2 linked regions of the Coturnix japonica genome follow. The protein of the gene in region 2 purifies or fractionates together with the protein of the main gene of each other region. This does not show direct contact. Links are inferred from orthologs where the notes say so. Each region holds a gene or a part of one and is shown on either strand. Other genes may lie near its edges. The genes, in order: PPP2R2A and SIK2.

Region 1 (3,819 bases), on a different chromosome or scaffold from region 2:
CAGTCCCACCATCCTTAACAGGCCAGCTGCAGCTGTGACTTGTACTAGCAAAGATGTATTCATGAGAGAGCTGAATGTAGCACTGAATAGATTTGCTTCACAAGTAGCTGTGTTTCTGTTGAGGAAATATCCGCCTTAAACAAAAGGTGGGAAAATTAATGATGAGGGAGTGGTAGACTTCTTGTCTTCAATCAAAACTGAAGTTCTTGCAGTAGAGATGATCCACCTTTAGTCTGATCTGCAGGCTTGTTAAAATAAGGCCAACTTTACACCAAAGGATCCTTGCACCAAATGTGGTGTTGACGGTGGTGGAGTGTAGAAGTCTCATCCAGCTTATGTGTTAATTAGCAGTTTGCCTGTGTATGTTGCTGCATAAATATCTAGTTCTGGCTTCTCTCTACAGCCTTGCAAAGCATTTTGTATGTTGCATACCTACCTTGATCATTTAATTCTCTTTTTAGAACAAAACCCAGTCTCACAGTAGGGGAGAATACAATGTTTACAGTACCTTCCAGAGCCATGAACCTGAGTTTGACTACTTGAAAAGTTTAGAAATTGAAGAAAAAATCAACAAAATTAGGTGGTTACCCCAGAAAAATGCTGCTCAATTTTTATTGTCTACAAATGGTAAGCGATGACTTTAATATTTGCATAACCTGTTGTTGCATGGGTTGGCTGTTAGGGTGCGAGTACTTCCATGAGTCATTCATAATAATCTAAACTGAAACTTGCTCTAACTTTGTTAAAAGAACAAACTGTGGAGGAGGTCTCGTTAATGCTTCTTATCCTGTCTTGTTTTCTTTGTGTAATCTTGAGATGAAGCAAAACGTGTATCTAAATGAATTCCTTATCTCCAAGTATTTTTTTTGTCTTTTTGGTACGTGTAGGTGGTCTTGTTTGAAGGCTTTGTGTTAAAGTGAATCAGCCGTGAAGACCAGTGTCATGGCTAGAGCTTTGATTTGCAACTGTGGCTGTTTAATTTCAGATAAAACAATAAAGTTATGGAAAATCAGTGAAAGGGACAAAAGACCTGAGGGCTATAACTTAAAGGAAGAAGATGGACGGTATAGGGATCCTACTACAGTTACAACACTACGGGTGAGTGGTTCCCTGCATGAATTTGGCCATCACTGTTTCCATTTGGGGCCACGTGAACGTGCATTTGAGAGGTGTTGTCTTTCCTGAGCTCACGTGGCTCAGGGAGTGAGTGCCCCATCACACGGTTCACGTTCTCTGTGATGCTCCAGGTATTGTCTGCTGGAACTCTTATTTCTGTGCCTGCTGTTCTGCAGACACAGTTGAATAATGATTTAATGAGCTTTAGAGTATTGAAGGACTGTGCTAATGCCTACATTACATTCACAATTCAAACTTTGATTGCTATGTATTTTGCAGGTGCCAGTATTTAGGCCCATGGACCTCATGGTTGAAGCTAGTCCACGAAGAATATTTGCCAATGCTCACACGTATCACATCAATTCCATCTCCATTAATAGTGATTATGAAACGTACCTGTCCGCAGATGACCTGCGGATTAATTTGTGGCACCTAGAAATTACGGACAGAAGTTTTAGTATCTTTTTTGCATTGTTTTGTATGGCATATGTGTTTAAAACAAAAAAGTTTTATATTTCATGAGACGTGTTTGTGTAGCATGGCTTTGGCTTCCAAGTGTTGTCCTGCTCCCAGATTTCAAGCATTATCTTCCTTTTGTATTTTTGTTGGCTTGTTTTAGTTCTGTTTGGCTGTTTCAGATGTATTTTGATGAATTGTTGAATGCCTTTAAACTGAAAAATATGTTGTGGAAACCGGAGGAAATTCCTTAACAAAATGGTTTAGATATTGTAGATATTAAGCCAGCCAACATGGAAGAGCTGACGGAGGTGATAACAGCTGCAGAGTTCCACCCAAACAGCTGTAATACATTTGTATACAGCAGCAGTAAAGGAACGATTCGTCTGTGTGATATGAGAGCATCAGCACTCTGTGACAGGCATTCAAAATGTAAGTTCTGGCCTGTATTTATCTTTTGTGGACTGTGGTATCTTGCTGCTAGATGAAACGAAGCACTCACTAAGTATGTATTAAAGCAGGGAGTAGCATTAAAATACTGAGTGATATATTTTTAGATAGGATTGCTGTGGTATCTTTGGTAGATAGAAAACTAAAAATCTAATTGAGTCTTAAAATTAGATTCCTATTTAGTAGAATAAAAGTAGTGAATAGAATTATTAGCAACTTAAGTCCAGACAGCAGGGCGAGGAATAATTTCCTGCAGACTTGATGAGTATTGGAGCTGCTGAATTGTTTGTTCTGCATATGAATCCAGAAATCTCGTGTGTGAATGAAGCCTCCAAATACTCCCAAGCAGTTGGCTTGCTTAGAAGTTAACCTTGATTTGCAATGACAACGAAACATTTCACAGTATTTCCAGGTATAGCAATTACACAAAACCTTTGAAAAAGGGTTTTATAATACATAAGGTATTATAGCGCAACATGGAAAGTGTATTGTGCTTAAAATAACCTAAATTGGGTGTTATTTTGTATTGGTAATATAGAAGCTTACCTCTTGAAATGCCTGCTTTACTTCTTTGCAGTGTTTGAAGAACCAGAAGATCCTAGCAACAGATCGTTTTTCTCTGAAATCATCTCTTCCATATCCGATGTCAAATTTAGCCATAGCGGTCGTTACATGATGACTAGAGATTATCTGTCAGTGAAGATCTGGGATTTAAATATGGAGAACAGACCTGTGGAAACATACCAGGTATTTGGCTGAAATATTGATGGACACTTGATGGTCTTATTCCTAGTCCTGATGTAGCTGTTAGATGTATCTGTAAGTGACTACGGCCAGACAGAACATCAGTGAGATGAGTGGGTTTCACACACATTAATGGATTTTGCTATTTGCAGGCTGATGGCAGAACCTCAAACCATGTTTTGGTGTGAAAGTGTCCCTCTTATACATTGGAAATATGGGAAGGGAAATTTCCAGCTGTGAGGTAGCTCATCTCTTTTAGCCTTCAGTTGATTTCACAGTGTCCTGTTATTTCCTGGAGTACTTGGAGGTAAAACCTTTGCTTTGTAGAAAAAGTTTTTAGCTAGAACTGACACTTGTTGAATTTCCAAGCTACTTTTGTAAGAAAACTTTTGAAGGGATCCTCTTCATCATCCATAGAAAGGCGATGGGTCACCAAAACGGGACTTCTAGGAAGCAGCCAGGTTTGCCAGATGCTATTCTAGAGGTTATTTTACAGGTATGTCATGCTCAATATTAATTGTTCTAACTTTTTCCCAGGTGCATGAATACCTCAGAAGTAAACTTTGTTCACTGTATGAAAACGATTGCATTTTTGACAAATTTGAATGCTGCTGGAATGGATCAGACAGGTGAGTGCAATGTTTCTCTATATGTTTGCAAGGCTTCACAAGTTGGTATTGAAACAGGCAGACAGCCTGAAGCCTCTAATGTATTTTGCTTTTATTCCTGGATTGGCTTGGATGCTATTCTTATAATTGCTGTCCAGGTATTTGAGATAAATAGACTTTAACATGTGTGTTATAAGTGACACAGTAGCATGAGGTTATTGGGAATTGCCTTAGTTAAGCAGATGAAGAATTGGAATGATCTTCAATGGAACTTTTCCTTCTTTTCCTCTGCCCTTCTCTGCAGCATTGTCATGACAGGATCCTACAACAACTTCTTCAGAATGTTTGACAGAAACACAAAACGAGACATCACCTTGGAGGCATCACGGGAAAACAACAAACCCCGCACGGTTCTGAAGCCACGTAAAGTGTGCGCGAGTGGTAA
Region 2 (3,819 bases):
TCAATGCTATTATTCCAATTCCAAGGCAGAAAAATTAAGGCATCAACCATCAGGAAGGATTCAGAATTGCCTCCTACATCCTAATAAGAATGAAGCTCATGACCAAGGAGCAGCACTCATTTCAGCAGCCCTCAAACATTTCCAGGAAATGAGGAAAAGCTCACAAGGCTCTGGTCTCCTTTCTGCTTTTCTCTCTCTCTCCTTTTATTGAATACCACCTTGGATTTTCTCTACTTCCCGGTTAGGTAAAGTTGTCCTAGATATACTATCTTGCTTACAACAGACAGTCCAGTGATAAGGACCTAAAGATGAAAAAGAAGATAAACCAAACAAGAAGAAAGGACTTTAACCATTCGATTTGTTTTCATGAAATTCACCCCTTGGCCCACAGTGCAAGAAATGAATTTAAGTCAGGCTCCACCTCTTCTGTTCTCCAATCATTAGGGCCTTCCCCATGGTGAACTCTATTCTAATGCCCCTCAGAGTTTGTTCTGCCAGGCAGTGTTGATTGAGTGACTGTGAAACCTTTTCTCAGCAACTCCAATTTTGTGACTGCCACTAAAATGAATAGGAAAACTCAAGATGCCTGGATGTCAAGCATAAAGTCATGAAATCAGCATTTACAAAGCTCAGTCCAATTCCTAAACCATGCAACAGTACATGTGATATACAGAGTACTCCTGATGACAGCATACCAGTATGTCAATCTCTTATAATTTTTTCATTACATATTAACTCCATCTCTCACAATTACAGAAAGATGCTATATATATCACCAGTCAGTGACTGGCTTTCCACAGTAGTAGCCACACTGTTTTTCTAGATCTACACAAAGAACACTAACACTGCTTCAGACATCTGAGCAGGCATCCTGGAGCAACCAGGAAACTCTTCTGATTCCACTTGCTTTACTCCGTGGACAGAAAGTAAGAGCTTGTAACCAGGATGCATGTCAACAGTGTTCTCTCCTCTGTCTGTGTGACACAGATTCTTTTCTCCAGTTTAAACAAACTTTCAGGTCAAAACCCCCGCTGTAGTTCACTATCATAGCCACTTTATATTATTCCTGGGAACATAATTTTTGCTATTAAATACTGTATTATCACTACCATCCAGCACCATGAATAACATCTCTTTCTACCCAGCTTTTCCAGACAGATAAGAGAAAAATGACACACACATACACACACACACACACACACACACACAAAAGGGCTCTCAACAAAATCAATGCAATTAACGAAGTGCAGAAGTTAGCAGTTAGCTGGATGTGAAAACATTCTCTTACTTACCAAAAATTTCTCCATTTTTGGCAAATTCTGTCACAAGGTATAGCATGCTTTTGGTCTCCATCACCTGTTGATAGAGAAGCACCACATTATATTAATTGCAAGAAGAGCAAAGAGCCACCAAACCAACATGAATACTTTCATTTACAATTTTTTTCCTCCAGTATAAAAGAAGTGGAAGCCTGTCCTGGACATAAAGTTTAGTTTCTCACGTTGCCTAACCAGTTCTGAGGAGAGCATTTGCACAGCAGGAATAAGCCTACCAAAGAACTAGTTATCTGCCTTTTAGGAATGCAGGAGGTGAACTCTACAAACAGGAGCAAAGAGTGAGAAACGAAGAGGCACTGCTGCCATACCTGGTAGAGCTTTATGATGTGGGGGTGATCCAACATCTTCATTATCTGCACTTCACGGTAGATCTTTTCAAGATTCACAGCATCCAGCTGAGATTTGTCTATTATTTTTATTGCTACCTGCAGCCAAAAAGCAAAAGAGAAATTACAGCTCTCACTGACTCCTTTATCCTCATTATAAGTACCATGATCTCAGATAGATGGGAGCTTTCTCCTAGCTCAGAAACACATATCCCACACCCCAGCCTTTAAACATGGAGCAGCACAGCCCAAGACATGGCCATAGTGCCACGGGGGAGTTCACAGGATGCTCTGCCAGCAGCATTCCAACTCCACACCTGCAAAAATGGTACTGGAAAAGAGAAAGCATTGGCTCGACACAGAATCAAGACACGGTGGGTGCACATAGTTCTAATGAGACACTTATTTAAACTTCAAATAATATGCTGCTACGCACGGACATCCACAATTCATCCAGTCAAGGAAAAAGCTCTGTAGCAGAAATGCTGAATCACACCCTGAAACAGCGACGGAGCACCTGGTGAGAAGACAGAGCCAGCCCAGAGCAGCTGAGGTACATGCAACGTACTGAGTGATGGAATGGCTGGAGCCAGCATTCAGCCCTTCCAAGCCCTCATTTAAGGGTCAGCAGTGGAGGCAAAAGTATCTTGCTGGAGATCCTTGCCTACCTGAGGCCTTCCCAAGGTAAGCTGCTTTCCTCCCCTCCCCTTTTTGTTTTATGTCTACGGCTGCTGCTTTTGGGCTTGTCCTCATTTGCTGTAGCCAAAGAATTTGCCACCCCACTATTATCACTGTACTTTCCATTACATTATAGCATTATATGCTCCATGAAGCAGATGTCTCCAGGTCAGATCTCACCAACAGATCACAATTAGAGAACAGATCCTGGTTCCCGTGGCTTTGTTTTTAGCCAATATCTGCAAAACAAGTTACAGAGGACTGCACTTGCTTCAGAGACCACCACTTTTTCTTAAAAATCAAGGAGTAACAAATATACAGCTGCTAAAAAACATGAAAAGGATTGGAATATGAAGATTACTAAATAATGAGTGATGTTTATTCATCCTAAAGATCTCTTTATTAATGCTGATGTGGGAGCAAGCGATGTAAGTCATCACTTCTGATGATGACCAGGTTTACAAGGTGTGGAGCAATAGCAGACAGGTGCTGTGCAGGAGGAAGACTGCTGTAGAGCAAGGGATGTGAGCATTGTTGGTGCAGCTTAAGAGCTGCATGCACCCACAGCTCCAAGTCTCCACAAACTGGTAGATCACACCTCGTGAACTCGGTTTTTCTTCTGCTCCCAGGAACAAGGAAGAAATCCCTTCACTACTTCACTAGAAAGCTACAAAATAACAAAGTAAACCACTTAAGCTGGACAAAATGCTTAACAAGCCCAAGCCTCACTTCTCCACTTCCTCTCTGTTTTCCGCTCTCGCTGGAATCCCCTAGAGAAGGTTTCTTGTTCCTTCTCCACCATCTGTCTGCTCAGCAGCTGCCATGGAGTGACCTCCGAAGTTAAGAGAAAGGGAAACCACTCTTTCTTATTTACAAACCAACAATCACCTGCAGCTACCTTGTATTCCTGCCTCACGCCAGTGGCACATCTTCAGGCCAGCAACAAGGTGAGGCCCTCTGGACAGCCCCTGCCTCCTTCATTGGCCTCATGTAGTGCAATAAATCCTGCTGGCCCTGGTTAGTATTAAAGTGCATGGCAGCCTAACTGGGGATTGACACAGCACCACGCTCAGCAACTGGAGGTATTGACAGCAGCTTCTTTTTCTCCTCATGCATGCCAAGCAAGTGGCTGCCTGGACTAAAAGAAAAAGAACTATTAACCATCCTTGTACAAGTCTGAGTGCGAAAGTTATCTCTGCTCAAACAGTGACAGTCTTCCACGTGCAGAGCAGCACAGCAGCAGCTGGCACCACTGCTCTGTGGTCAAATGCAGATTAGATAGCTTGGTCTATTCTGAACTCTCAGTTCCCACACATCTCACCAGGTCCTGGGAAGCTCAGAGAAAAACCTCTTGGAAATCCATAAAATCCAGCAACTCCTTCACCACATTGAGAGGAGGAAGAAGCATTCAGCAGCAATGGCTCATTTTTGTCCATAGCCTCAGCTGTGTCATGATGACAGGAAAAGGGGAAGTTATT

What was found.
Region 1: the proteins of SIK2 (region 2) and PPP2R2A purify together in Homo sapiens (affinity purification with mass spectrometry; 3 studies listed by BioGRID and IntAct, with this or other methods). This does not show direct contact. The link is inferred for Coturnix japonica from reciprocal best matches to the Homo sapiens genes SIK2 and PPP2R2A.

What each region holds. Positions count from the first base shown.
Region 1 is NC_029537.1:1,754,887-1,758,705, reverse strand, and holds part of PPP2R2A (serine/threonine-protein phosphatase 2A 55 kDa regulatory subunit B alpha isoform), read left to right. Parts: intron 1-461; coding exon 462-627; intron 628-985; coding exon 986-1,098; intron 1,099-1,395; coding exon 1,396-1,573; intron 1,574-1,839; coding exon 1,840-2,004; intron 2,005-2,599; coding exon 2,600-2,769; intron 2,770-3,303; coding exon 3,304-3,395; intron 3,396-3,678; coding exon 3,679-3,819. UniProt on the Homo sapiens protein: Substrate-recognition subunit of protein phosphatase 2A (PP2A) that plays a key role in cell cycle by controlling mitosis entry and exit. Involved in chromosome clustering during late mitosis by mediating dephosphorylation of MKI67.
Region 2 is NC_029539.1:45,936-49,754, reverse strand, and holds part of SIK2 (serine/threonine-protein kinase SIK2), read right to left. Parts: intron 1,763-3,819; coding exon 1,646-1,762; intron 1,357-1,645; coding exon 1,293-1,356; intron 1-1,292. UniProt on the Homo sapiens protein: Serine/threonine-protein kinase that plays a role in many biological processes such as fatty acid oxidation, autophagy, immune response or glucose metabolism.